Linked DNA regions of Notamacropus eugenii. The protein of the gene in region 1 interacts with the protein of each later gene in a pairwise test. Links are inferred from orthologs where the notes say so. Each region holds a gene or a part of one and is shown on either strand. Other genes may lie near its edges. The genes, in order: TRAF3IP1, SPTBN1, SMC3 and PCNT.

Region 1 (7,967 bases):
TGGAGAATCTCAAGGCTGCCCAAACCAATGATTACCACCTGGTCAGCAGGGCACTCCTGGCTTCAAGGCCAGCTTTCTATCCACCATACCATACTGACACATGACAAAAAAAGCATCAGTAAAAATAAGATAAAAACAAAACACCATTTTTTTTTTTTAGCAATTCTGATGCTTTACACTGATTTTATCAAAAAGTTTTTTCAAGATTTCAGAGGTCCTAGCATTTTAAAGAAACTGATGGTCAAATCAACTGGCCCTATAAGATACAAAATCTGTGATGTCTCCAGGGCCCCTCTGGAAAAATCATGGGCAAAAATCATGGAGGACAAAACCTTGGATGTTTGGATTACCCACCCTACCAGACAAGGTGACAGAGCCTGCAAATTTTCAAAGGTGTTTTCTTTTGGGGGGATGCTAGAGGGGTCCAGACCTGAGATTTCATGGCTCTAGGGAATTTCCTGTGTGGAGCCTCACTGCATTGAAGCAGGTGACCAGTTCATCTGGAATTTATATAGTCTCAAAGTTGGGGTGGGAGTGGGTGAGTAGATATGGGGATGAAGGTTAAATGACTTACCAGTGGTCAAAGAGTTAATATATGTTAAAGACAAGACTTGAACCCAGGTCTTCCTGACTCTAAGGCAGGACCTCTAGCCATCAAGTTATGGCAAACATTAAATATTATTACATTGGCAGATAAGATGAATTTAGCATCCTATCAATGAAAGGCTATAGTGGCAAAAAGATGAGGGCCCACAATTCTTTATACACAACAGAAGTATCTTGCCTCCCTATGAATAATCAAGTCCTTCTGTTTGTTTCTTTTTCTCCCTCAGTCTTGCTACTACTACCTCAACCAATGCACCTAAGAATGCCAGAGCAAAAAGAAGCAGGTGACCTCAGAGGACCTTAGAGGTTAGAGACTCTCAGGGACAAAAGAGGCCTGTGAAGCTCTTGAGGCCAATTGCTACCTAAGCAAGAATCTGCCTACTGCATAACCCAACTCCAAATGGGCACCCGACCTTTGCATGAAGACACTTCTCCTTCCCCAGGCAGCCCCTGCATGTGGGGAAAACTTCAGTTGTTAGGAATTTTATCCTCACATCAAATCTCAATTCTTCTCTTTGTCACATGCCCAAATGGTCCCCAGTGCTGCCCCTCTGGGGCTAACCCCTTATACAACCCCCATTTAGAGATGGGCACACACATCAAGGCTCAGGGAGTGGTAATGACTGGCTCAACAGCACGAACAGTTAATGGCCAAGACAGGAGCACCCAGAGCTTTCAATCAATGAGCAAAGAGCAAGCTGAATGCAGGAGATTTTGCAGATACAATTCACAGGACTTAGTACAGGGTGAAAGACACTGGAATATGAAGGTGAGGGACATGAAGAAGAATCGAGGTTAATTCTAAAGTTTCGAACGGGAGGCCCTGGCTGGGTGACGGTGGCATTAACGGAAATGCTGTCAGAAGCAGACTTAAGTATTACTTTTCAAGCATATGTAAATGGGGTCGTTATGAAGAAAATGTAAATTCATTTTTAAACATCAGTGAATTAAATGTTTTGTTGTTTACTTTTCAATTGATATCCATTATGCGATATGTCTATATATTTTTTTCTTTTAGAAAAAAGGGACTCTCATACTCAAAAAGGTTGGGAATCCCCAGGCTACATGACAGTACCATCAACTAGATTCTCAACTGATTGAGCGAACGTAGTCTGCATAAACAAATGATGGCTCTGTGGCAACTTAGGGGGATGTCTCTGGTGGATAGTCTGGGCTGTTGACCATTTTTATCAATGACTCAGATGAAGAAACAGATGGCACATATTTATCAAACACGGAGATGACATGAAACTGGGAACATTTGTAGGGCAGTGTCAGGCACTTCTGAAGCTCAGTTAGATCAAACTGGCATTCTTTCATTCTTTTAACTGCTTTTACCCAACAAACCAATTAACCAGACCCGACTTTGGGGTCCTATTTCAGTTCATCTTGTCCCATGCACGGCACAAAGCACAAAAGTGGTCATCTTCCAAGGACTAGTTCTTTCCTGGGGACTGTTGTTCAAGGACAGAATTCCATTTTCTTTCATGCAAACCCAAACTCCAGCTGCACTTTATAGACTGGCTAGTCCACAGCAGTAAACACATCTTTCAATTTCTCAGTCTCCTAGTTGCATTAAACAGAATACATGGTTTTTCAGGATCGATTTCCCCCTTTCGTTGGTTTTTGACAAAGGAAGGTTGGTACCAGCAAGAGGGAGAACGTCTGTATGACCCGAGCGGTCCAAGAACCAAGCAGTGCCCGTCACCGGGGGGCTAAGGGCCCCGACCCGCACCCCGACCCGCACCCCCCCAGCCTCCGGGCAGACGGCAGTCGGGAAGCGCGCCGGCCTCCCATGGCAACGCGGGCAAACACCCCAGCCCAGGAAGTTTCACATCCAGCCGACTCGGACGTTCTTGGGAAGACTAAAAAATCAGCATTCCACAAACAGTCCCGGGACCTGACCCTTTCCGGAGGGCAGGGGCTGGAGGAGCCTGGACCCCACAGGTCGCAGGTGGTCACTGAATCCGACTCCCCTGGCTCTGCGGCGTGCACATTACGGGGGCGCCCCTGCTGGGCAGCTCCCCGCCCCCCCACACCCCCCAGGGGGGCTCTGCTCAGGTTCCCCTCCCCCTCCCCAGGGGCTGCCCGCAGCAAGCCGGAGGCGTGAGCGGCGATCTGCACAGGCAGAGGGAGCTTGCCGAGCTGGGAGGGCCGCCGGCGGCAGCCCCGCCCTCCACAGAAGACCCCCCGCTAGGCCCAACCCCCCGGGGCCTCCCCTGCCCCCCCGGCCTGTGCCCGCACCTCCGTGACTATGTCGTGCAGGTAGCGGAACGGGGGCTTGCTCAGCAGCTTCTCCGTCAGCGGAGGCTTCTTGATCACCTTCCCCAGGGAGTCCTGCGTGCGCTTCACCACCGACGCGTTCATGGCGGCCCCGGCCGCGACCGGGCCACCTCAGGCCGCCGCCTGGCCCCGCCGCTCCCGCCTCCACCGCCGCCGTCGCCGCCGAGCTCGCCGGCCCATCCCACAATACACCGCGCTCCACAACGGCGCCTGCGCGGACCCACAGCGTTCTGTCGCCAGGCGCGCGCCGCCCTAGCAACGGGCAACAAGCCGCCGCCGCCGGCATCACGTCCCCTCCCCCTCACCGTCCAATCCCGGCTGGCCGTCTCGGATGTCCCCGCCTCCAGAGGTCGCCCCCAGCCCGGCAGCCCGCCTCCTCACCAGAGTCTAGGCCCCGCCCCCTGAGAGCGACCCGGCCCCCAGCGACCTGGCCCCCCCTTCCAAGGCCCGAAGACCCGGACTCTAGCCCCACCCCTCGTCGCATCCCTGCGAGCTCCTCCACGGCAAGCTCCGCCCACCCACAGAGGCCAGGCCCCACAGCCCTAGCGGCACCCGCTCTTCATTAGCCTAGCCCCTCCCCATTTCCAGCCCCCTGGACCCGCCTCCTTCCTCCTCCACCTCCCACCTCACAGCCCCAGCCAGGATCCTGGCCCCGCCCTCAGGCCAGCCTGCAGGAGGCGGGGTGGGATGGGGGAGGAGCCCACGGGTCTTCTGGACTCCTCCCTCCTGCCCCTCTCTCTCCTCCCCTCTCCTTCCCTTCCTTCCCTTCATTTCTCTTTTCTCCCTCCCAGTCACCTTTTCTCCTCCTCCCCCTTCTCGTTCCCCCTCCTCCTTCCCTGTCTCCCAAAGCATGTGGGTGAACGCTCCCCCTCTTAAGTCACAACCTCCCTAGGACTCAGTTTCCTTACCTACAAAACGAGAGAACTGGACAAGACGGCCACTGAGGTCCCTTCTCTCAGAGAATCTTCCTCCACTCGTCTTCCTCTTCCTTCCCCACTTCCCCCATTCTCCCTCATTCTTCTTGTCTTTTCTACGGTGAATCCTCTATCCTTTTTCCTCCCCCTCCCTCTTTTGTTTGCCTCCTCTCTCAACCTTTCTCTTCCCTGCTTTCCTCCTTCACTCTCCCATCCCCCTCCTCTCTCTGCTTCCCTCTTCTCTATAGTCTTTCTTTCTTATTTTCTCCCTGAAGACTAAGACTTTACAATTCCCTTACTTATCATATTTGAGGTAAATGGGTGAGGGTCTGATTAGTCATTGCCCCACTAAACTTTAAAGAAAGTAACAAAATACCCTACCCTGATATACACATCACATTTTTCACTCTGTGAAAATGACCAAATCCAAATAGTTTAAAAGAGAAATAAGAATTGTGAATGCAGAATTATAGCTTGCACAGCAGAAGTATTCGGCAGAATAAAAATTTTGAACCCACAGTAGCAAGTGTCACCAACAAAGGAAAAGAAAATAACTCAGTGGGAATGCGTACACACAGAAGTGAAAGACAAACTGGGAGAAGAGGAACTGAAGCAATAACATTAAGAGAAAATGTGGGGGCACCTAAGTGGAGCAGTAGATAGAGCATCTGCCCTGACATCAGGAGGACCTGAGTTCAGATCTGGTCCCAGACACTTGCTAGCTGTGCGACCGTGTGCAAGTCACTTAACCCCAATTGCCTCCAAAAAAAGAAACGAAAGAAAAATGTGATCTCCATGCATGAAAAACATTAATCTCAAAAACCAACTAAGTGACCCAGAAGAACACAAGTTAAAATAAAAAACATCATAATGTGAGAAATAATACAAGAAAACTGCCTAGAACTTCTAAAAAACAGTGTCTATCAAAAGAATTCACAGATCACCCCCAGATTAAACAAAACTCCCCAAACTCCTATGCTGTAAACTCCAGTGTTTCAGTTGAACAATTCCATTGACAACACATTTTCTAAGCAACAAGGGGAAAGACTTTCAAGAATAAAGCAAAAGAAATTTTAAAACACAACTCTTTAGCACTGACCAGAAACTGTAGGAGATATTGAAATAACATGTTCCTATAAGCAAAGGAGCTCAAACTCAGCCCAAGGTGACCTAACTTGAGCCTGACTGTTAGGGAAAAAAATGTGGATGTTCAATAATGAAGAAGAAGCTTTCAGAGAATTCCCAGAAAGAAAACCACACAGAGGAAAGTATTTGCTTTTCAAATGTCCAACATAACAAAAATATAAGAAAACAGGGGCAAGAGCAACAGGAGGACAGCCAACCAACAATCATTGAGACTCTTTCTAAATGTACATGAGAAGAAAAAGGTGAAAGCAGAAATCAAATGGAAGTGATGGTGAAGAAACAAGCGTAAGATATCATAGGCTGAACCTCACAACATCCCAAGTAGAGGTGAATCAATGCTTGTTATGGGATTAAATGTCAAAATAAGAGGACACATAAAAGAGGGGAAAGGAAGAAAAACATAGAGGGGAATATGTGATATATCCCAGGCAAGTCAAAGTGCAGTCATAAGAGAAAATGACTCCTGTCATTTCTCAGGAGGAAGAGAGGCTACAGTAGAATGAGTGAGGAGACAGAAGGAGGGATTAAAAAAGGGAGAGTAAAAGACGAAAATCTTGGGAACCAAGATGACTGAGTAAAAGCAAGGACTTGCTTGAGCTCTTCCACCAAACCCCTCCAAATACCTGTAAAAATGATTCTAAATACATTCTGAGCAACAGAACCCACAAAATGATGGAGTGAAACAAATTTCTAGAACAAGACAACCTATAAGGTCAACAGGAAGCATCTATTGCACTAGTCTGGGAGTAGAACAGTCCAGCATGGGCCATGTCTGCACAGATAGGGTTAGAGAAATCCTCAGGGGACTGAATCATTGGCAACTGTGGCAGTTTCTAGACTTCTCAACCCACAAATGCTAAATACCATATGGAAGTTCAGCGGAAAAACTCTGTGGGATCTGGTCTGGCTGGGCTCTGGCCCCAGCCCTGGGGCATAGGAGGAGGAGGCGGTGCTGATGACAGCACCACCAGCAGCAGCAGTGAAAGCTGTAACTGCTTCTGGAGCTCTGGGCCCACAGATTGTGGGGGACTGAGTGACTGATGCTGAGTGACTGAAGCCTGGGACAGTATACTCACCCCTACCTATACTGGAAGAAGAATCCTATCTTGACAAAGAATTAGAAAGTCTAGTATTTGACTGGGAATATGAACAAACAGTGTAAAAAACCTCAGAAAATCTTTGGTGACAAAGAAGATCAAAACATAGAACCAGAAGAAGACGACAAAGTCAAAGTTCCTACATCAAAAGCCTCTAAGAAAAATATGAATTAGTCTCAGGCTATGGAAGAGCTCAAAAAGGATTTTGAAATCAGGTAAGAGACATAGAGGAAAAACTAGGAAGAGAAATGAGAGTGATGCAAGAAAATTATGAAAAATGAGTTAACGTCTTGCTAAAGGAGACCCCACCCCCAAAAAACTGAAGAAAATAATATCTTAAAAAATAGACTAACCCAAATGCAAAAGAAGTCCAAAAGCTAATGAGGAGAAGAATGCCTTAAAAAGCAGGATTAGCCAAATTGAAAAAGAATCCAATAGCTCACTGAAGAAAATAATTCCTTAAAAATTAGAATGGAGTAAATAGAAGCTAATGACTTTATGAGAAATCAAGAAATTATAAAACAGAGCCAAAAGAATGAAAAAAAATAGAAGACCATGTGAAATATCTCGTTGGAAAAACCACTGATTTGAAAAATAGTTCCAGGAGAGATAGTTTATAAATTACTTGACTACCTGAGAGTCATGATCAAAAAAGAAGAGCCTAGACATTATCTTTAAAGAAATTATCAAGGAAAACTCCCATGATATTCTAGAACCAGAGGGTAAAATAGGAATTGAAAGAATACACTGATTACCTCTTTAAAGAGACCCTCAAAGGAAAACTCCTAAGAGTATTGTAACGAAATTCTGGAGTTCAGAAGTCAAGGAGAAAATATTACAAGCAACCAGAAATAAATAATTTGAGTATTATGGAAATACAGTCAGGGTAGCACAAGATCTAGCAGCTTCTACATTAAGGGATTGAAGGCCTTGGAATATGATATTCCAGAGGTCAGAGGAGCTAGGATTAAAATCAAGAATCATCTATCCAGCAGAACTGAGTATAATACTTCAGAGGAAAAAAATGGAATTTCAATGAAATAGAAGACTTTCAAGCATTCTTGGTGAAAAGACCAGAACTAAATAGAAAATATGACTTTCAGATATAAAAATCAGGAGAAGCATGAAAAGCTAAACAGGAAAACAAAATCATAAGGAACTTATTAAAGTTGAGCTGTCTACATCCCTGCATGGAAAGATGATATTTTTAACTCATGAGATCTTGCTTATTATTAGGGTAGTTGGAGGAAATATATATGTATGTGTGTGTGTGTGTGTGTGTGTGTGTGTGTGTGTGTGTGTATGTGTGTACATAGAGGACACAGGAGGAGTTGAATATGAAGGGATGATATTTACAAATAAAATTAAGAGGCGAGAGAAGAGTATATTGAGAAGGAGAATGGGAGAGATAGAAGGGGGTAAATTATCTCACATAAAAGAGGCAGAAAAAGGATTCATAACAGAAGGGAAGAGGAGGAAGGTGAGAGGGAATGAGTGAATATTGCTCTCATCAGAGTTGGCCTAAGGAAGGAATAACATACACACTCAGTTGGGTATCTTACCCTACAGGAAAGTAAGGGGAAAGGGAATAGGGAGGTAATAGAAGGGAGGGCAGATTGGGGAAGGGGGTAGTCAGAAGTAAGCACTTTTGAAAAGTGACAGGGTCAAAATTGAAAATAGAATTGTAGGTGGGGTAGGATGGAAGGAAATATAGTTAGTCTTTCACAACATGACTATTATGGAAGTATTTTGCATAGCTACACATATATAACCTATATTGAATTGCTTGCCTTCTCAGTGAGGGTGGGTGGGAATGGAAGAAGGGGGAGAATTGGGAATTCAAAGTTTAAAAGCAAATGTTAAAAATTATTTTTGAATGAAACTGGGAAATAAGATATATAGACAATGGGGTATAGAAATC
Region 2 (7,469 bases), on another chromosome or scaffold:
AACCATCAAGCTATCATTTAAAGCTTCTTAATTTCATTAATTTTATTATGTATTATTATGCATATTCAAAGGCTACAAACCTAGACTCATGAAAATATGACTATCAACTGATAATCCTTGGCTTTGAAATGTTTAACTACTGAGATAGTACCTCTTTACCTAATTTAGGTGACATTTCCTCAAAACCAGAACCTAGACTGGCATTATGCACTAAATTCCATTTATTACTCAACTTCAAATACAAGTATCTAAGAGAACTATGGGAAAGTCATCTGTAAATGAAATTCACTATACGAAGAGAGAGGTAAAATCACTTCCCTGCCACATTTGACTTAATGCTATGAAACACTTAAGCGTAAGAAAAGCCATAAGAAAGCCATAAGAAAAAAATCATGTCATGAAAATCTGCCCAAATCACATTTGGAAGAAAACACTTAAGAGAAAAGATGTGAAATTTAAATGTGTGGTTAATTTCAGCTACAATCATCTTAATGATGACTCTACTGAAATAATCTTATATGTAAAGCCAATTTTGCTACTTAAATAAAAAAACTCTTGAAAATGTTTGATTTCTATTAAATATAAATCTCATTTGTTATCTCAAGATGTGAATTTAGTTTCCAAATAGTTTCAATTTAAAGGGGAAAAAACTTGGCTAAGCCCCCAACAATAAAAAAGCCCACTTTTACAACCCTTAAAGAGCAATTTTTAAAAATATATGAAATTCTAACATCTTTATACACTTTTTGAGGCCCAAGGAACTAAAAGCATTTAACTTCTTTAATTTTTTTTTATGCACATAGTTTTTCTAGAACTAAAAACCTATATTCTTAATACTGGGTGCCCTAAGCTGCTAAATGTGAATTTATTACTGTCATCAACTTCTGATATATTCAGAAGCCAATTATATTGGAAGATTACATGGCGTGGTCAGCCATCTAATAAATATATCCCATGACTACTCACATACAACATGCACCATTTCCTCACATTTACAATATCATTCTTCCTGTCGCCCCTCCCTAATGCTCCTACAGTAGTTTGATAGTATGGGATAAAGGTCCACAGCCGCAGGCTGGGCTCCATCAGACCGCATTAGAACTGCAATCGCATAACTCCTCTTCATTACAGTACAACCTAACAGCAACCAAACAGGGAGGGTCCCTTAACCACTACCTCATCCACTCCCTCCTTCCCCCCCAACCCCCGCAAAAATGTCTCTTTCTCCTTCTACACCTAGGTGATCTGTTTCTTTTGAAGCCACATCCAGCTGAAACCGTATGACAGGGGACAAGCAGCCCCAGGCTCTGGAAAAAAAAAAGCTTTCCAACTGGGTGGGGTTGGGAAAGAGCACAGGGCGATGGGTTGCTATGCAAAGGAGAGCCACCAAGAACAAAATAAGGTTGTCATATATCTAGCTGCATTGTGCTGCATCATCCCACTCCTGCTAGATCATGATTAAATATATTTTAAAAAACAAATTAACCCAAGTCATGGATTCTTTCTTTCCTGAGGCCCATCTTCAGATACTTTTCTCACCTGTTTTCTCTTTTTTCTTCTTAAAATTCAAGACGGTTTGCAAAGCCTGCAATCATATCAGGCTGTCTTCCCAACATGGAGAAAGGAGGAGGGAGGGGGAACAACTGTAAATCTGATTGCAGCGGATTGACACTTTTCCCATCACAAAAGCCAAGAGAACGACCCAACGCAAGAAAACAGGGTGCGGGAGCAGGGAGGAAGAAGGGTTCCCAAACCAGCACAACCCTACCTAGGGGACCAGAAAAGAGATGACCAGGTCGGCACAAACCTGTTGAAGAACACCGAAGCCCGAAAAAGCAGCCTGTTCCCAGCACCGTAGCTGCTCACGCCCAGTCCAGAGAGAGTGGGAAATGAAGAGGAGGAGAAAGAGGAGAAAGAGGAGGAGGGAAGGAAAAGGAGGCGGGAGCAGCAGCAGGAGCAGCAGCAGCAGCTGCTGCTGCCGCCGCCTCCAGCTCAGCAGCAGCAGCGCAGCTCAGGACCACGCCTGGTTGCATCTCCTGTACCGTTACATCCAGCAACCTAGGTCACCAAGCACGGTCAGCGACCCCTCGCCAAGATGCCCACTCTCCTCCCTTTCTGCCCCTCCTTTACATACATACGCGCACACACGCACACACACACACACACACACACACACACACACACACACACACACACACACACACACACCAATCCAAGCAGCCAAAGGCGATTTTTTCTTTTTTTTTTTTTGCACCTCACTAAAATATGCGCTCGAGAACCTCAGTACCCTCTCTCTTTAATGCCTCCCCCCAGAAAAATACTGGGAAAATGAGGCACACAGCTTAAAGGAGGAGAAAGGCGAAGGGGAGGAGGGATGTCTGCTGCAACCTAATGATGGAGCCGCTGCAACAGTCACACACTGCCATGTCTGCAGCTGCCAGACTGCAGAGCCTGCCTGCAGCCTTCTCTCCGTCTTGCTCATTCCCTAGGCCCTGAATCCCGCCCCAAGCGCCCCTTTTCTCGCCCACTGCCCTCCAATAAAAGGAACACTTTTTAAAAAGAGGGGGTCACCAGCCCTACAAACCCCTACTCACCCCCGCCGCCCCTCCCTCCCTGTTTTTGCAGCCTCCCCTCCCCCTCCCTCCAACCTCTGTGCTGGGAAAGGGTCAGCGTGATTTCTCCTCGCTGTCGTCCTGGCACAGCACCCTAAGGTTCACAGCCCCCCCCTCCCCAGAACCCTGCGCCTCCCCCTCTCGCAATCCTCTCCTACCCACCTAACCCGGGGGCTGGGAACGGAAAGGAGGCGTTCAGTGAGTTGGCATCTGGTCCGCAGAACGACAACCGCAGCCTCGGGGCCCTTACCTCTTCGGGGTCCGGGGAGATGGGGAGGTTGGGTGGGGGGCGCCGGGGTCCCGTCCTCCTCCTGGGCAGCCGGTCGGTGCTGGCAGCCGCCGCGGGGGTCGGGGCTCACAGGACAGGACCGGGCGCCGTGCAGTGCAGCGCTGCGCTCCCGGAGGAGAGGAAGGGAAGGGAGCGACTGGAGGAATCCGCAGCCCACACAGCAACAGCTGCACTGATTCAGGAGGCAGGCGGGAGGAGGGCGGGCGGGAGCTGGGAGGGGGCGGGGAGAGGGATGCTGCACAGACACCCACCCACAAGCCTCTCCTCCTCCTCCGGCTCGCGCCCCGCCGCCACCGCGCAAACACTCTCTCTGTGCCTCTGAGAGTGCCCACCGCCCTCTGCCCCCTTCTCCGCTGCGCTCCTCCAGCCCCCGGCCCGGGCCTCCTCCCAGCTACCTGCAGCGAGCGCCTTCTCTGGGCTGCAGCTGATAAACAAGTGCGCTTGCACATTCACCTCCCTCCGCATTCCTCCTCTCCTCTCCTCTTCTCTCCTCAGTCCCCGAGGCCGGGCCTGGAAGCCAGGCACCCCGATAGGGGCCACCGCCGCCGCGGGAGGAGAGGGAGCGCCGGGGATAATGGGGGCTTTGTCCCCACCCCCCGAGAGGGCCAATTTCACGTTTAATTGAAGCCTAATTCGATTATCACCATGGAAAGGGGCAGCCTAATTCTGAACGTGACTTCGCTCAGTCTCCTTTCTTCCTTGCTGGTTTTTTATTTTGTAACAAAGGACAAAGTTTGCTTTCTGGGTTTGGGGGTTTTAAGTGGGTGGATTCCCCATTTTTGTTTTAAATCTGGGAGGTAGTGCTTGTAGGTTTCCGCTCAGGTGGGGAAAAGGCGACATCTCTGTTGGGCGCCTTTTTTTGTTGTTTGTTTCCCAATTCTCTGGGTCAAGTTCTCCCTTTGTGAATTCTTTTAACCCTTTCTACCTAGGTAGCCTAGCCTAGTACTTGAACTCCAGCCTCTTATCCCTGAGGCAAACATCCCGTAGCGGCCCCCACCCCCACCCCCTTTTTTGAGATACAGTGTTTCCTGGGGACTAACAAGCTGTCTGTCACTACTCAGTAATGGACCTGTCAAGGTTCTCGTCAAGACTTACCTACATTAGCTAGAAATCTGAGCTTTAGAACATAAGCTCCTACAAAAGTTGTGGTTAACTTGCTCTGTATGGTTATCTAGCCCAGATCCAGGAAAACGTGAGCACTATACAATTTTTATTATTTCGGCTCAAGAGAATTGTTGAACCTTTTCTTCTGAAGGATCCCCCAAACCTTAAAACAAAAACTGACCTAGGAAGGTTAGAGAACCTCATTACTGATTTGCAGCTATTTCAAGCAGTAGAGGTCTGAGACCTGGTATATTTAGTGTTTAAGTGTTTACAGATGAATATCGTGTTTTGCTGAAAATGCAGAAATTTGAACTGGCAATTTTAGTTAACACACATGTACCACATAAAAAATTAACTAAAATTTATTTCTTGCCTAATGTACCTGATCACCCTATTCAGAATGCTGGTCTACCCCAAAAGTCAGGGTCTCAATTCAGATGGCCTAAGGCTTCAAAAGTAGAACCAAAAAATTGTACTGTTAAAAACATATAAAAGATTATTAAATTTTCACAGAATTTAAGCATTCTCTTTTTTCTTCCCTTTATAATGACTTTTGAGTTCTAAATCAACCTTGTATTCATTTTTATGTTTTATATATAATAATATATGTATATGGTTTTTTTTCATAGTTCTTGGCATGTAGTAAGTGCTTAATAAATGCTTGTTGATTGATTGGATTAGATGGATATTTTTAAAAGCTTTAAAACTGGTAGTATCCTGTGATGCCGATAAATAATTTTAATTTTGGAAATTTTCAAGTTAGAAGGAAAGGGACCTAAAGGGTCAGAAAAATCAGTCATTTAGCTTTTAATGAGCAAAATAAATGTTTTCACACGTTATACTTACTTCAGTGTTTCAGAAGTTGAAGGAAATAAATGAAGTATTTTTCAGGAATGCCATCAAATCACAACAAAAACATGAAAACATCATAAAGGTAAGCACAGGGAAATTAGCACACTGGAAATGAATGCTGCACCTGAGGACTGAGTTTTTGCTTGTTTCAGTCAATGAAATCCACAAGAAAACAACAGAGTCTCCAGGGAAATAAATTCTTAAACACTTCCAAAGTTATTTTTAGTAGTGGTCTTTAAATACTCCCTTTATCTCTCTACCACTAGAATGGTTAATCTTCTAGCTCTAGTAGAGACCATATCCTGCCCCCAACCCAAATCATTTTATGCTTTCTCCCTGAGAAAAGGCAACATGTTTCCTTAACTTCACAATTTATATGGCATTGTACCGGGGACTGTAAGAATTTACCAACTTTATAGTAGCTTATTAAGTGTGATTCCGAAATTCAGAGTGAAGGCTACTGATTTAAAGTTTTATTGTAAGATATAAGGGAAACTTTTTAAATGCAGAAGTTGAGAAAGGTTCTACTAGAGAGCTGGAACTTTGTCTTCATAATATTTTATCTAGCAGCTAATACATTATTGGCAATCAACAAAAATTAATAGGAATTAACAGATTTAGATCATAGAGATAGTCATTAGTCATTTTTGAATTATAGCTAATGAAGAAACACCCTAACATGGAACACTTCCAGTATAAAAGGAAATTACTTAGTTTAGGTTCAACACTGAAAATGACTCACATTCAGAGAGTATATTATTATTAATAATAATAATTTTGATCTTGGATTAATAATCATAAAGGCTATTAGGAAAATTTTGATTTTTACAAAAAATTTTTCATGCTCAAGATTTAGTCTATTAGTAATGAATAAAACTAAGGAAATACTTTACTCTGTGATTCCTTTCTCATTAAACTTCCTTTCCCTTAAAGCCTTTGGGCAAGATATTAATATTTAATTATATTTTTAAAGGTAAAAAGGACAGACTATGACAGTTAAATTTATACCCATGAATGTCTAATTGTTAAAATAACATTTTCAGAATCAAATGGTTAAAAAGAAAAATCAACCCTGAAGAAGATTAAATATGACCTGGATGATGATTGCTAGGTTCCTTTAAGTAAACAGTGATCTCAATGTGCCAAACCTATTAATATTTTTTTTCTTTTTCTTTTTTCCTGTTATTTAGTCCTACAAGCAAGGATACTTTGAAATTTTAGATTCAATTTCTTCTGTCATCAGTTGTTTCTTTGGTTGACCAGGAAATCGATTTGTTCTTCAGTTGGGCTAGTTAAAGGGAAAATTGATAAGTAATTAGAGTTTGTCCCCATTCTTTCTTTACCTCCTCTTTTTAGGAAGGTGGGTGACACAGTGGATGGAACACCCGAATTTGAATCCTGCTTATGACACTTAGTAGTTGCATGATCCAGAACAAATAATTTAATCTCTCTGACTCAGTTTCCTTATCTGTAAGATGATAAAATAATAACACCTCCCTCACAAGATTGTTGTGAAGATCAGAAGAGTTAATATTTAAAGCACTATGCACACCTTAGAGTGCTATATAAATGTTAACTATTATTGTCATTCTTCCCCTCAGTGAGGCATTCTCTCAATGTACTAAATGTTTGAATATTTTCTCAACCCTTTTTCCTATGAAAAGATTATTTGCACTATGGTGTAAGTGACTGGTAGATTTCTTATTAATATTGTTTATCTTAGAAATAAGAGGGACAAGACCTTTATTTGGCATAAGGGGGAGGAATGAAATTCCTTATCATGTATTTTCACTTATCAGTGAATCCGGATGTATTTTGGAAAAGAAGATTCCCAGCCCTCTTGAAATCCTTTTACTTGGGTGGCTTACTTTTAAAACCATCCCTATTTTCCTAAACTCCTCTCCACATCCAAAATGGTCCAAATCAACAAATGAATATTTATTGAGTCCCTGCTATGTGCCCAACCAATAATGGTATAGTGGGAAATATAAATTTGAGGTCTTACAAAATTTTATTTTAATTAATAATAGCTAACATTTATATGGCACTTAACTATGTGCCAGGTAGTATACTAAGCACCTTACAGTAATTATCTCATTTGATCCTCATAACCACCCTGGGAGCTAGGTGTTATTATTATCCCCATTTTTCAGATTAGGAAACTGAGTGAAACAGGTTAAGTGACTTGCCCAGGAATTCACAGCCTATAAGTATCTAAGGCTAGATTTCAACTCAGGTTTTCCTGACTCCAGGCCCAGTACTCTATCTACTTTGCCACTTTTTTGCCTATTTATATGATAAAGCAGGTCCCTTGGATTTTCTCGAGCATTCTCAATGACAACAACTTTCTCCTTTCTCTACCTCTTAGAACTCATTTTGAGGTTCAGTTTAGAGCTACCCCATTCAAAAGACCTTTCCTTATATCCCCAGTTTGTGGCCCCTAATTACATATACATACATGTATATACAATTCTATTAATTTATTAAATGTTTAGCTACTTAAAATCAAAATATATTAGTTTATTGTATATATGTGTGTGTATGTATGTATAGCCTATATTTACTTATCTGTGAACATGTTGTATCTACTAGTAGAATGCATGCCTTTTGAG
Region 3 (7,701 bases), on another chromosome or scaffold:
TACCTACTGGACAACTAGTTCCAGATTTCAGCAGAGAGGTAAGGGCAGAAGAGGTAGATTTGAGACTTATCAACAAAGATAACTAAATCCATGGGAGCTGATGAGATCACCCAGTGAAGTACATAGGGAGAGAAGAGGAAGCACAGGATGAGGTTCTGTGGAACATCTACAACAGTGATGTAAAAAGTGACCAAAGACATTTTCAGAGTAAGCTGTAAAGACATGTATGAACTGATGCTGATCAAGAGTGAAATCAACAGAGCCAGAAAAAAACATACAGTAACACTGTAAAGACAATTTTGAAAGTCTTAAGGATTCTGATTAATGCAAGGACCAAACATGATTCCAGAATATTCATAATGAAAAATGCTATCTGATAGAAAGATGATAAACTTAGAATAAAGAATGAAGCATTTTCTGGACAGTCATTTTGGGAATTTTTTTTCCATCAAAGGTCTCATTTTTCTTTCTTTTACAATGGGGAAGGTGAGAGAAGGATTTTGGTCCATTAAAAAAGTTAAATAATATAAAATATTAAATACATAATACAAATATTAAAATATATAAAAAACAAAGTTTTTAAAAAGGAACACATAACACAGCAATTCACGTTTCATTATCTCTCCTCCCTACTGAAGAATAGGTAGGTCAGAGTGTTTTTCTCTATCCAGAATATCTTCCTTAAGTAGAGCTCTGGCTATGTCAGCCAAAAAGGATTTCCTTTGTTTTAATGAAGTTGCTTCTAACTTTATTTTATTTTCATTAATTTGTTTTCAGTTTTCTACAATCACTTTCATATATCTTAGATTTTTTTCCCCTCCATCCCTGAGTCAGCATGCAACCTTATATAGGTTCTATGCATACATTCCTATTAAATACATTTCCATCTTAGTCATACTGCATAGAATTAAAATGAATGTGAGAAACCACCAAAACAAAACATAATACAAGAGGAAATGGTCTGCTTCATTCTGCAATCCAATTCCATAGTTCTTTCTCTGGATGTGGAAGGCATTTTGCCTCAAGAGCCCATTGATAATATTTTAGGTCCTTGTCCTGTGAAGGACTAAATCTACCAGAAAAATTCCTCATACTGTGTACAAAGTTCTCCTGGTTCTGCTCTTTTCACTCAGCATCAGTTCATATAGGTCCTTCCAGGCCTCTCTGAAGTCTACCTGCTCATCATGTCTTACAGCACAATAGTATTCCATTACATCCCTACCACAACTACTTATTCAGCCATTCCCCAATTGATAAGCATCCCCTCAATTTTCAGTTCTTGGCCACCACAAAAAGAGCTGCTATAAATATTTTTGTACATGTGGGACCTGTTCCCATTTTTATGATCTCTTTGGGACATAGCCCTAGAGGCGATATTGCTGCGTCAAAGGATATGCACATTTTTGTAGCTCTGTGGGCATAGCTCCACATTGCTCTCCAGAATGGTTGGATCAGCTCACAGCTCCACCAACAATGAATTAGTGTTCCAACTCTCCCACATCTTCTCCAGCATTTGTCATCTTCCTGTTCTGTCACGTTAGCCAGTCTGATAGGTGTGATGTGGTACTTCCAAGTGGTTCTGATTTGCATCTCTCTAATCAATAGTGATTGAGAGTATTTCAAAAAGGATTTATTTAAGCACCTACTATGTGACAAGGTGTGTGTGTGAGAGAGACTACGTGAAAACCACCTACTAACAAGGCACATACAGAATGAACTGGACAAAACCCACAGAGGTGAGGCACCAGAATCAAGGGGGATTGTTTGGGGCTTGGGCGCCAGAAAGGCCAGGAGGAAGGGATGAGTTAGAAGAGAATTACAGGCCTAAAGAATACCCGAATAAAGGGGGGCGGGGGACACTTGGGTTTTCCACCCAGGGCCGTACCAAGCACGGGGCAGGCCTGGGGCGCAGCTCGGACAACCTTCACCAGCCTCCATTTAGAGCCACCACAGGGGAGGGGGAGAGGAGGATGGGAGGAGGCCGCGCAGCACCGCGCCTCTCGTTATTACGGTTAGGAACAGGCAAAGTCAAGTGCGGCCTGCAGGGCAGACGCCCCCCACGCGCGCCCCTCCGCGCCCCCGGGGGCAGGTCTGTCTGCCGAGGAGCAAGGGCCCGCTCCACCCCCCGCCCCCCGCCCGCCTCCGCGGCCCTCTCCCCTCCCCCTCCCGCCGCCGGGACCCTTAGGGCGGCCTAGGACCTTGGGGAAGGACCAGGGCCGAAGGTGCGGGAGGCAGAGGGAACGACGCCTCCCCTCTCCTCCCACCGCGGCCGCGCGGGGGATGGGAGCGGGCTCCGAAGCGCTGGGGGGGGGGGGGGGGGGGGCGGGGGGGGTAGGGGAGGCGGGAAACGGAGGCTGTCTTAAATCCTCTGAGACGGCGCGGCACCGGACTCACCTGTTTTATATACATGATTCCTCGCCCCCGGCCCGGGAGAAAGACCCTCCCGGGACCCGCAGCTGCTCCTCCGCCAGTCAGGTGAGCTGAGTCTACGACCCCTCCCCCACGACCCCGATCCTTTCCCCGGCCAAACAAAATGGCGGCCTCTGAGGAGGCGGTGTCCCCGTCTGGATCAAACCATCGTCGCCGCACGAGCAGGGAGGAGCGGGTGCTCCGGGACACTTCGCTGCCTTTCCCCACTCGTGACCAGCTCCGGTCGGACTCTGCGTGGCAAAGTCGTATTTGTGTCTTGGACGCAGCCTCCCTGGCTTCGAGAATAGGCTCTCGACTTTCCTCCCGGACATGCTTGGGCTGGTCCGTGTCCCCCCTCTAGGGCGGAAGCCAGTGGTAGCGACCACGAGAGGGGAAAGGTTCGGCGCTAAAGGCAAGCGTCTTCAAACCGCGAGGGGAGGGGACCGCGAAGATGAGCCAGGCTCTGTACCACGTGGTTTGAGGGGGGCGGTTAAGAAGAGACGCCAAGGTGGAACTTCGGCGCGGTGGCGCGTCGCTGTTTACTTTTGGAGATGCCAAGGCTTGGGCGCCGCGGGCCTCATTCCCTGGCGCGCCGGACAGACTGCCAGCCCGCATTTATGCCGCCTAACGGACGTTCCGCTTCCGCCACTTTGGGGGAGAATTTTGCCTGGGAGCACGTGCGCGGCCTTGGTTTCCCAGAGATCGTCGCGTGCGGCTGACGCGGAGGAGGGGTGGGGGGGGTGAGAAATTGACATCTCACCCACCCGTTGTCCTCTTTACGGGCCTCGTGGGAACGCCTCTGAAGGAGAAGCATCTGTGAAACCCCTGCTGTGTGCAGCTGCCAGGGACCCCATCCCGGTCATCCCTTCTTGCAGAAACCCCTCTACCTGTGAGATCTCCTTGTTCCCTTGTTCAGCCATGCCCCGCTCCTGTGACTGCTGGACCATCCTGCCCATGGCAAAGAGACCGGACTGAAGGCAGAAAGAGGTTATGTGACTTGCCCAGGGTCCGAGGCCACACTTGACCTTGGGTCTTCCTGTTTCTGTTGAGGTCAGGGAACCCTATGTTGAGGTTTAGGGTGTTTGGGACCCCAAGATAAGTGCACCCAGGGTCCTGCCAGAATGAGTTGGACTCAGGCTCTTATTCTGAAGAAACAATTTATTTTAAAGATCCGCCCTGCTGGGTTGACTCTTAAGAAGCCTCACCATTTGTGAAGCTTGTATAGACAAGGGGCCAGAGAGAATCTGAGCACCTTCATGGAGACAAGAAGGATCTTATATACGGAAAGACTGTGGGAGAAGTCTGGGGGTGGTCTAGTAGTCTGGGGTGATGGGAGGAGGGGATTAGGGAGGGTCTGGAGGAGGATCTTGGTGGGATTGGGGTGACTGGAGGTCAGAACCAAGAGAGTTTGATTGTGATCAAGGGTGGGAAACAGCTGGAGGCAGTGAGGAGGTCTAGAGTAGAAAGTAGGCCGGGGTAATCCAGAGGTCAAGGCTGGGGAGCAGCCAGAGGCTTGGACAAGCAGATCATGAAAGGCTTGTGACCTCAGGCCAACACCGGATTGAGTGGGGAAGATGTAACTCTGGGGGTTCCCAGAACTTGTTCCCCATCATTTCCACTGGGCCACCTAACTGCCTCCTATCTCATTATATGCTTACAAACTTGGTTTATCCTGATTTGATGGGTAAGAAAAATGACACCCAGAGAAGTGAAGTGATTTATTTAAGATTACATAGCTAGTAAAAGCTAGCTTTGCCCACCCTCACTGCTCTTTTTACACCATGCTGCCTCACTTATCTTAGCTTGCTTGATGGAGTAAGTTCCTGGATGGCACAAACTGCATCTTATTTGTCTTTGTAAATCTCATAGCAGATAGATAAGGCACTTATTAAGCTTATTATGTACCAGGCAACATGCTAAATACTGGTTATACAAATACAAGGGAGAAAAAGAAGCCTGTCCCTGCTTTTAAGGCACTCACATTCTGATGGGAAAATCACAACATTAAGGGGAGCAGGGAAGAGAAAGAAAACACAGGCAAGGCCTTACAAGGGGAGGAGGAGCTGTCCAGTGAGTGTTAAGCTCTGAGGGCATTGAGCAGCACAATTGGAACTCCTCACCAATCAAGAGAGCAGGCATTAGAGTGGAGTCATTCTAGTGGAGCATGAATTGAGGTGGCAGTGAAGTAGCCCCCAGCAAAGGCCTTTGAAGGCTCTGGTGGTACTTGTCAGGATGATTGAAAAATGATTAAAAGAATAAATATTAATTACCTTGTGTACTGCCTTCCCATTTAATTTCTGAGCTTTATAAGGACGAGAAAAAAATACATACACATGTATATTTTTATTTTCATATGTGTGTATGTGTGTTGTGTAAACTTACATATATTTACATATATACGTGTATATATGTATGTATGAATATTCCCCACAAAGGAAATATTGTACCTCAGAGAGTGGCAAGTATAATAGGAGAGAGTACTAGCATTTGAGGGAACCAGTATATCCAAGGAGCAACCTTCAGGGAAGACCATGAACTTATATGTGTTGGTGGAAGCAAAATCTTACAACACTCCATTCAAATTATGCTAGTTTTTCCTCAAAAGGTACTGATTGGTTTAGGGAATTAAAAGCTCTGGGTCTGATTTCTCTTCCTGGTTGCTTGACTACAAAATTAGAAGTTTGACTTAGATGTGCACTAGCATGTACAAGTCAAAGGCAGGGGAACCAATTTGAGGGGTTTTCAATGCATACTATTTTTTCTTTTTTTTAAATTAATTTGTTTTCAGTTTAACAATCACTTCCATAAGTTTTCAGTTTTCTTCCTCTCCCTCCCCAAGATGGCATGCAATCTTATATGGGTTCTACATATACATTCTTATTAAACACATTTTCACATTAGTCATGTTGCATAGAAGAATTAAACAAGCGGGAGAAACCGTGAGAAAAACCAAACAAAACAAAACACAAGAGAAAATAGTCTACTTCATTCTGCATTCTGATTCCATAGTTCTTTCTCTGGATATAGATGGCATTTTGCATCAAGAGACCTTTGGGAATGTTCTAGGTCCTTGCATTGCTGTGAAGGGCGAAGTCTATCAGAAACGGTCGTCGCATGCTGTTTCTGTTACTATGTATAATGTTCTCCTGGTTCTGTTCATTTCACTCAGCAACGGTTCATATAAGTCTTTCCAGGTTTTTCTGAAGTTCAACTGTTTGTCATTTTTTTATAGCACAATAGTATTTCCATTGCATTCATATACCTCAACTTGTTCAGCCATTTCCCAGGTGATGGGCATTCCCTTGATTTCAAGTTCTTGGCCACAACAAAGAGAGCTGCTATAAATATTTTTGTACACATGGGACACTTTCCCATTTTCATTATCTCTTTGTAATACAGCCCTAGAAGTGATATTGCTGGGTCAAAGAGTATGCACATTTTTGTAGCCCTTTGGGCATAGTTCCAAATTACTCTCCAGAATGGTTGGATTAGCTTACAGCTCCACCAACAATGAATTAGTGTTTCAACTCTCCCACATCTTCTCTAACATTTGCCATCTTCCTGATTTATCATATTAGCCAACCTGGTAGGTGTGATATTGTTTTGATTTTCATCTCTCTAATCAATAGTGACTTAGAGCATTTTTTCATATGACTATAAATAGCTTTAATTTCTTCCTCTGAAAACTGCCTGTTCATATCCTTTGTCCATTTTGCCCCAGAACAGAGCTGCCTAATACTGCTAGCATACAACCATGCTCATTGGGTCCATTATGAATTTACATTATGGAATCCCAACTGATTTGATCTCTCAAGAGAGCATAATAATAGCTATAAGCTGAATTATTGAATTCTGTCAGTGCATGCTTGTGAGTGTTTTGTGTTTCACCCTCATTTCCTCTTCCCTGAATATTAAAATGGTCTCCTGACTGGTCTCCCAGTCTCAAGTTTTCTCCTATCTATCCAGCCACTTTGAGACCCAGTTGGTTTACTCCTGTGACAGGGAAGACTTGACCCTGTTAGCACTAGTGCTCCCACCATCCTGAGTACCTCACATGTGGCCCACTATATCAGGATATCTCTGGCCGTACTTTATTTTATCCTCTGACCAGCTCCTTCTTAGCCACCTTTCCCTCCAATTCTGTTGTCCAGTTTTAGAACCATAATCAAAGCAATGTTGCCATTGTTTTATAAAGGTTAGGCTAATCTATTTATAACTGTTCACAATCCCTGTAATGTTCCTATGCAAAATATCTCTGACCACCAGTCCTCAATTAGAATGTGAGCTCCTTGAAGGTAGGAATTGTCTTCACTTTTGTCTTTGTTCCCCTAATGCTTGGCACATGATAAGTACTCTTTTTTTTTTCATTCTTTTCATTTATGCCTTTTTTCATGCTCTATGTAGTTTCCAAGTTAATATTCCTAAAGCACAAGTCTGACCGACTCTCCTCAAGAATCTTCAGGGACTCCCAATTGACTGGAGAATAAAATATAAACTCCTATCTGGCACTGAAAACCTTTCATGATCTGGCTCCAACTTCTCTTTCTGAGCTGATTTCACTTTACTGCCCTTCATATACTCTACTCTCCAACCAAATGAGCCCATTTGCCATTCCCAGTGCTGGCTGTTCCATCTCCCACCTACATGCCTGTGGAGATGCTGTGAGTCTCCTGACTAGAATTCACTTCCTTCTCACCTCTGCTTCTTGGAATCTTTATCTCCTTTCAAGCCTCTGCCTGTCCTCCCTCCTACAAAAGGCCTTTACTGATCCTCCATTTGTTAGTATTTCTACCACCTCCTCATCCCCCCAAATTAGTTCATATTTACTGTATATATACTCATTATTTACTTATCTATGTACATGTAGCCTCCCTGTACCATGTAAGTTTCTTAAGGTCAGGGGCTGTTTTGTTTCTGTCTTTGTCTCTCCAGCCTCCCATACTGTGCCTGGCACATAGAGCCTTTATAAATGCTTCCGAATCAAATTACATTCCTTCATTTGATCTTCTCAACAATTCCATAAAATAGACAAAAATGTATTTTTATTGTCATTTGAAAGGTTGAGTAAGCTGAGGCTTAGATAAATTAGGCAGTTTGCCCTAGGTTACCCAGTAAGCCAGAATCCTTGCCCTAGACTGCTTCCGTTTTGCTGTTATGGTCACTGACATACCTACAGATAATTTTTCTTTGAACTATTTAACATTTTGTCTCCCAAAGCTTTTGACATTAGTTTTTCATTTTTCGTCATTGTTTCCCTTATCATTGAAGCAATCACAAATTGAAAAGCTGTGC
Region 4 (7,341 bases), about 2.5 Mb from region 1:
TCCAGAGATAAAATTATTCTACAAATACTTATCAAACATCTGCACTACAAGTAAGAGGAAAGAAAGGAGAGTTAGAAATAGGGGAAATTCTGGAAACTAGATGCTCTCAATATACTGGATGACAAGAGAGCAGTGACAAGCAGCCATTTTCATTTCAGAATGCCGACATCAACAGTTCTGCACATAAATGTTCTCTTGGTTCTCTTTGGCATCTTCAACATTCACAGTTCCATGTACCACCCCTACTGTTTTTAAACAGCCAAATTCTTCAGACTTCTCTTTATGGGTTTTGAGAGGACCTCCCACCTCCCACATGCTGCCCACTCAGACTCCATGCCATACAGAGATACCACCACACAAAGTGTGTCCTTGCTGACCTCAAACCCAGGGCAATTAGGAATCCACAAACTGAGGCTAAGCCCTTAACCCAGGAATTCCTCACAGCAATTACCCCACCACGTCCCACACAACTGGTTGATGCTCATTCCCTTTTCTCTCTTCTGCTTAACACCTTGGACGAATTTCCTCCTCCTCCTGCAGAGCCTGCGCTGGGATGCCCTAGGAAGATGTCGGGCCACTGAAGTTAGATCTACATCTGTAACTCCATGCGATGCCTTGGATTCCCACTCACTTCAAGGGCAGTAAGATGGGAGGGAAATGGAAGAGGGGAGGCATTTGGGGGACATGGAAAGTTTCAAGAGAGTTCTCAATTTGAATTAAGCAGAAACTCTACCATAACTGGCATAGTTAATTCTCTCAATATTTATTAAAACAATTGAGGATGAGGCCTACGAGAGTTTCTCAAAATGACCATGGCACCAAGGTATGAAACATCAGGGCAAAGAACACCGCTCACTCACCTTGTGGAAACAAGAAACCCATCCTCCCACTTATGGCAGCCAAAAACAGACCAGACACGGAGGTTAGTGCGTTAAAAGGAGAGGAACCATCACAACAACATAACGCAAACCAAGAGCCCCAGCCCACCCTCCTCCAGCCACTTCACCTTGGCCTCCAGGGCGCTGGCTCTCCCCTCAGCACAGTCACCGTCCCCCCTGCTGTCCACACTCTGCTCCAGGTCTGGGGGTGTTACCGTGCACTCCTCCTCCTTCTCCGTGACAGCCGCATGGACAGCCGTGCTCTTCCTCTTCGACGCCTTTTTCTTCGAACTCGAACTGTCGCCTTTTGTTTTTCTTTGTCGGAACTGAGCAAGCTACACAAGAAGGTTAAGAAATAGTAGAGACAGAGATAAGTGAGAAAACCGTAACAGGACCACAAAGTGAACACCCCTGTGGAAGAGAACATGGAATGGCTTAATGGGACTGTGCATAAAAATCCACGGGGACTCCCTAGCTATCAAGGATCCAGGTGGCCAACTTAGGCCTCAGCCCTGACCAAAGGCATCCCCAGCCAAAACAGCAGGGTGCCGTCTGCAGGGTTCTAATGGAAATGAAAATGACATCCAAGTCCCCAAGTTATTGGGGCCCTACAAACAGGTCAGGGGAATTAAGTAACAGCTGACAAGCAGCCTGCTAGCTATGGTCACTGGCAGGAAGTTATCAAGTGGTCATCAACTTCGCCAAGGCATGGAAATGAACTGAGAGGCGAGTCGGGCCCTTTCATTCGCCTGCTCCCCCTGCCCCCAAAGCAGAAAACCAGGAGTCAAACTTGGAGCCACTGATTCTGAGCCACATCTACAGAAATAGCAAAAAATTCATTAAGCTGGGTCAATTGCCTCTCCTCCTTGAAAGAATCAGATGCTCTACTTTTCTGAAGTATCCCGGTGCACAAAGCACCAGGGACCTCCAAACCATGTCACCCATCAGAACCCTCTCTCCTTAGCTCCCTGAGCTGAGATCAGCCTTTTCCACTAGCCTGCTTGTGGCGAGCCAGAATCTGCACCAATATTTCAACTGTGCAAGACCCGCCATCATCAGCCCCAAGCTGGGCTCGGAGGCCGCACTGGTCACCCACCCTGGGCCATGACCTCCCTCCTACAGCCAGGGAAGCCGGCCCTGCTCGGGCACTGAGCACAGGCCTGGAGGGAGGCCCTGCTCTCTTGGGGGCCTGGGCCTTGGTAGTACTGAGGTCCCAGGGGCCTCTGGGGGGAAGGGGGCTCGCTCCTTCGCACTGACCCCTCGCGGGCCGCCTCCAAATTGGGCCACTGTTTCGGGGTGACCGCGGCGCTCAGGCCCGGCTTTGGGGAAACCAGGCTCCGCAGGTGGGCCTCCCCTGGGGCAGCCTCAGTTTCTCCATCTGTACATCGAGGGAGGTCGCCCCAAGCTGTCCAGGTGGGCGGGCCTCAGTTTCCCCATCTGTGCACAGAGAAGCCAGCACACTAAACCCCTAGCGTCACTCCGAGGTGGAGGCACACGCCCCCTCCTCAACTCCGCCCCAAGCCACGCCCGGAGCCCAGAGGGTGGGCCCCCAGAGAGGCCGGAAATGCGTGAGCCCGCTTCCGGCCAGTATCCTACACTTCCGGGACCTTCTAGCAGGCGGAGGACCGGGAGACTCGGTGGTCAGGCTCCACCCCACCCCCCCGGCCTCCAGGGCCTGGCCCCGCCTCCACCCCGCGATGACTGGCCAGGAGGCAGGGGGCGGGGCCGAGGAAAGAGCGGTGGATTCAAGATGGCGGCGGCCAGGAGGCGGAAGATTTCGGGCGAGCCCGCGAGAGAGGCGCGGCCCCGGCGGGGATGGGGGATCGGGGACCGCCAAGCTAGCGGGCTCGGTGCTAGGCGGCCCCTTCCCACTCCCCCAGGACCGCAGGTTTCCCGCCCCTCCCCAGGCTCCCGAGCTTCGCGCTCTGTGGGGAGGGGAAGATCCCACGCGGCGGCCAGGGTCGGCCTTACCTTAGCCCGGCCGGCCTCCACCTTGCGCCGCCGCTCCTCTTGCTCGTCGTACTCCATGGCCCGGCGAGGATACGCGCGTGGCCCAGGGGCGGACGCGACCCTCCGCCGCCGCCGCCTCTGCAGCCGCTGTATTGACACGGCCGCCCCGCCCCCTAACTGACCGGGAGCGAGGGGGCGGGTCCGGGCACCCTCCGAGCGCTCTCCAACCCGCCCACGCCCATCGGCGTCCTCCCACAGATGGACGCCTGCACTGGCCAACAAGCGAACGGCGTCCCGCGTCTGCCCTGCCAATCATGGGCTCGGGGCGGGGCGCTCTTCTGGAAACCCGACCCCTCCCAGCCAACCGCCCTGGTACAGCTCTGAGTGACAGGCCGCTAGCCTCTGTATCCTCCCTTTTTCCGCTCAGCCCAGGCTCCGCCTACCTTACGAAAGAATTGGTTACTGCGCTATGACGTCAACCGAGCTGAGCCCTCTGTTTGGTCAATTTCAAAGGGCCCGCCTAGCGCCTCTGGAACGCGTTGTCCAATCAGAGGCGCGGGCGGGAAAAAGACTGAGGCGGCGGGCTGACCTCGGGGCTCTGCTGGGATCTGTGCCAGGGCCCGAAGCCCGGGAACTCCGGGACTGGGCGGAGTGAGACGGCTTGGGGGCGGGGCCAAGGTACCAATCCACCCCGCCCCTTTCCCCTCGGCCCCGGGGGGCCAAGCTGAGGCCAGGTCAGCCAGGAGGGGCCGCAGGTGTGGAATGTCCACACGTGCCCTGGAGGGGGCGTGCTTCCCCCCTCCCACGACCACTTCTGGGGCAGCCCCTTCTCAGATCTCTCATTAACCGGGGATACTGTCCAAACTCCCCAGGACACTGTCCATCCCCCTCCAGGACACCATCCTCCTCCTCTCAGGCCCCTTGTCTGGATCTTCAACCACTGACAAGGCTGTGGGTGAGGTCCGCAGTCCAATGAAGCCAATGGACCCTTTCTCAGAATAATGTTTTTAAATAACTGAAGGTTGTTTTTTTCCACTGTAAGTTCATGCCTCCCCGTGCCCTCCATGCATGCACCTGATAGAGGGCACTTCCTGCTCTGCTCTCTCCCCTCCTGTGGGGTCGGTTCTCTTCTCCATGCCAGTGATCCCCAGGTCTGTGTGTCCAGCCCCACTCTCTTTCCTGCCACCTGGGGCCGCATCCCTGGACATCCTGTAGGCTTTCAAAGGGATCTCCCCTCTGCCCTGGGTTCTCCAGGGCAGGACCCTCCAGCCCCTCAGTCCCCGTACACTCCACTGGTAGCCAACATGTCCTATGTGTCTTCCTCCCTTCCCAGGCTAAGTCTGCTTGTCCCCACTGCCTAACCCTGGTGACTGCCTGGCCCTGCCTCACCACCTTCTTACCCGCCTCCCTGACTCAGTGCATCCCCACCTGCTGCCACTGGTCAGGATACCTCCGTGGTTCACTCCTGAAGCCAATGCAAAACATCGTGTGGGCTTTGAAAGCCCTGCCAAGGTGTTAGACCCCACACCCCCACCATCACCTTTTCAGTCTCCTTATACCTTAGTGCTTTCCATCCTCCACGATCCATTGACTCTGTTTCTCTCTATCTCTCACCTCCATATCTTGACATTGGCTCTTTTATACCTATAATACTTGACCTTACTTGCCTGGCTTCCCTGCCCCTCACCTTCCTTAAATCTCAGCTAAAAACCCACCTTCTGAGCTCCTAAAGGTCAGGGGCTGCGTTTCCGCTTTCAGAATTTGGCACAATACCTAACATGCAGAAAATGCTAATTAACTTGCAAACCTGTGTGATCACAGGAAAGTCACTCTCCCTCTCTGAGCCTGGTTTCCCCCTTGGTAAAATGAAGATAGCAGTAATCAACAAACCATAGGCATCACAGGCTTCTGAGGAAAAAATGCTTTTTATGTGCCAGGCACTGGGGATACAAAGAAGGCAGAAGAAAGTCCCTGCTCTTAAGTAGCTTATAAGCTAATGTTAGAAACATTTGTGACACTAAAAAGGTATCAAGGAAATATTACAGCAGAGTTCAGAGGAATTGAACACTTTGGCCAAAGCGGGCCCCCACCCTCTTTTCAAGAGGAGGGAGCACTGAATACAGAAGGGAGATGAGCTATATACTGTTACTCCAAGACAGATCCTTCCACCAGAAGATGGATTGGTCCATTCTCCATTAGGTCACCATCTTCTCTACATGCCCAATACATAACCTTCCTTAGTGTGATTCCCCCTCCCAAACATGCTTTATCATAGGACCCATGATCAGAAAATGGAGGTATAATTTTATTTGGGGTGTGTCTGCTTATATGCATGAGGCCTCCAGGTAACTGTAGGTCATTTTTCTTGGCTAGTTCCAGCTAGCTGTAGATTTGGTGCCTTTATCAAAAACTTTGTAATTTTCTGAAGGCCACCGTCTGTCTTTTGGTTGATTGAGTTTACCTGCAGTCTGCTGGCCTTCTTATCTAACTTATTCTCAATGACTTCATCAATTAACAATAACTTACTGTGGAAACTTAACTCAATGTCTTTCACGCTAAGGAACTCTCTATAAGCTGCATCAGGGATTAATTATCCTGAGGAGATGCCATATGGAAAAGTATTGGGGCTGTCTTATGAGAAAGTCACAGGGGCCTTAAGTTTCCTCATCTGTAAAAGGAGGAGCTTGGTCCATATGGTCTCTGGTGCCCATAGGGTTCTAGACTCCGCCTGGAAGGCCCTAACTTGTGCTCTCCAGTGGCCATCGTTTGGGTTGACAAAGTTGAACTCACTCATTCCGCAGAGAACCCTACAGAGTAAATGTCAGAGTAGGAGCTGTTTTCATTTGCATTGATCTAATTATTAGTCATTTCAAGGACTTTTCATGTTGCTATTGATAGTTTCAATTTCTTCCTCTGAAAACTGTCTTTGCTTTGACTATGTACTGGGGAAATGAGTCTTATTAGAAATTTGAAACAGTTCACTGTATATCTTAGAAATGAGACCTTTATCAGAGGAACTTGCTGCAAACCTGGTTCAGAAGATCTCTTTCCCACTTACCTGCTTCTCTTCTCACTTTAGCTGAATTGGTTTTGTTTCTGCAAAAGCTTTTTCTTCTTATGTAATCAAAATTGTCCATTTTCTCTTCTGTGATCCTCTGGAGAGGATTCGGTCCTGAACTCTTCCCCTATCAATCGATCTAGCAGGTAAGTGCTTCCTTGCTTCTTTAATTTGTTCATGGTGCCTCTTCTATAGCTGTCACTCACCTGTTTGGAACTTGTCATGGGGTATAGTGGGAGGTGTTGGTCTAGACCAGGGCTGGCAAACTCAGATAGAAGTGGGGGCCATTAATCTGAATAGAAGAATCCCTGCAGCGTGCATATTGGCAGTTTTCAAATGTAATGGTGTGTTCAGGGAAGACTAGGACCTCTGGTGTGAGGGCTTCTTCCACCTTCAGTGTCTACGTGATCCATCTAACTCTCACCTGTGGCTCCAAGAAACTGTAGCATGCACAGCATCCACACCCCAGTAAATCATTTTGGCATATGGGCCAAACCAGGCTGAGGTTAACCAACCAGCCTCAAACCCATCGGTGAGCTTGGGGGGCTCTGCCCCAAGCATGTGAAGACTTCCCCTGATGGGATGGGCGAATGAGAACAATTTCTTCCAATGGCTTGGTTGGAAGGTTGGGAGGCTGGTCAGAAAACAAAGACACTAAAGTCATCCACTGCATCCAGAGCCATCACCAGTCATCCTGCCAATGGACTGTGTTGACTGGAGGACAGAGTAAGGCCTATGACTTTGTGCAGCTCTACCTCACTTAAATCCAATTTATACATGAATCAAAAGACATCACCCATGCCAGGTATCTTTATTTATTTTGTTAAGTATTTCCCAGTTAAATTTTCATCTGGTCTGGGACCACCTCTGATCTAGACCTCGTTTCTACCAGGCTTCTTTCCAGTTTTCCTAATAGTTTTTTATTGAATCGTGAGTTGCTAGCCAAGTAGCCAGGATCTTTGGGTTTCTCAGATACTAGGCAGCTGCCTCATTTGCTTCAGCATATTGTACATTTATGCTGTTCTACTGATCAAACTCTCTGTTTCTTGTTGTCCAGTTGTTTTGGTCCATGAACGGCTCTCTGTGATCCCATTTGGGGTTTTCTTAGCAGAGACACCGTAGTGTTTGCCATTTTCTTCCCTAGCTCATCATACAGATGAGGAAAATGAGGGAAACAGAGTTAGGTGACTTTCCCAGGGTCACCCAGCTAGTACATCAGAGACTGGATTTGAACTGGGATCTTCCTGTCTCCAGGTCAGGCTCTGTACACACTGGACCACCCTGCTGCCTATATGAATATTATAAATTATGAAAAGTGAATCCATGCTATATAGGTAATGACTAGTAAGCATAATCAGCCTTTACACTTATTCAGCATTTTCCATGATCTCATTTGTTAAGTATCTTCTGTGTGTGTGTCAGGCAAAGCACTGGAGATACAGGAGAGAAACAAAG

The links.
Region 2: the proteins of TRAF3IP1 (region 1) and SPTBN1 interact in a two-hybrid assay, tested with the Homo sapiens proteins (2 studies listed by BioGRID and IntAct). The link is inferred for Notamacropus eugenii from reciprocal best matches to the Homo sapiens genes TRAF3IP1 and SPTBN1.
Region 3: the proteins of TRAF3IP1 (region 1) and SMC3 interact in a two-hybrid assay, tested with the Homo sapiens proteins (2 studies listed by BioGRID and IntAct). The link is inferred for Notamacropus eugenii from reciprocal best matches to the Homo sapiens genes TRAF3IP1 and SMC3.
Region 4: the proteins of TRAF3IP1 (region 1) and PCNT interact in a two-hybrid assay, tested with the Homo sapiens proteins (2 studies listed by BioGRID and IntAct). The link is inferred for Notamacropus eugenii from reciprocal best matches to the Homo sapiens genes TRAF3IP1 and PCNT.

The regions. Positions count from the first base shown.
Region 1 is NC_092873.1:65,997,194-66,005,160, reverse strand, and holds the start of TRAF3IP1 (TRAF3-interacting protein 1), read right to left. Parts: upstream 3,117-7,967; 5' UTR 2,974-3,116; coding exon 2,851-2,973; intron 1-2,850.
Region 2 is NC_092872.1:651,984,186-651,991,654, forward strand, and holds the start of SPTBN1 (spectrin beta chain, non-erythrocytic 1), read right to left. Parts: upstream 3,103-7,469; 5' UTR 2,863-3,102; exon of another isoform or gene 2,775-2,862; intron 2,131-2,774; exon of another isoform or gene 1,769-2,130; intron 1,660-1,768; exon of another isoform or gene 1,540-1,659; intron 1-1,539. UniProt on the Homo sapiens protein: Fodrin, which seems to be involved in secretion, interacts with calmodulin in a calcium-dependent manner and is thus candidate for the calcium-dependent movement of the cytoskeleton at the membrane.
Region 3 is NC_092872.1:188,251,452-188,259,152, reverse strand, and holds the start of SMC3 (structural maintenance of chromosomes protein 3), read right to left. Parts: upstream 3,027-7,701; 5' UTR 2,410-3,026; coding exon 2,395-2,409; intron 1-2,394. UniProt on the Homo sapiens protein: Central component of cohesin, a complex required for chromosome cohesion during the cell cycle. The cohesin complex may form a large proteinaceous ring within which sister chromatids can be trapped.
Region 4 is NC_092873.1:68,466,099-68,473,439, forward strand, and holds the start of PCNT (pericentrin), read right to left. Parts: upstream 3,129-7,341; 5' UTR 2,907-3,128; coding exon 2,850-2,906; intron 1,214-2,849; coding exon 1,007-1,213; intron 1-1,006. UniProt on the Homo sapiens protein: Integral component of the filamentous matrix of the centrosome involved in the initial establishment of organized microtubule arrays in both mitosis and meiosis. Plays a role, together with DISC1, in the microtubule network formation.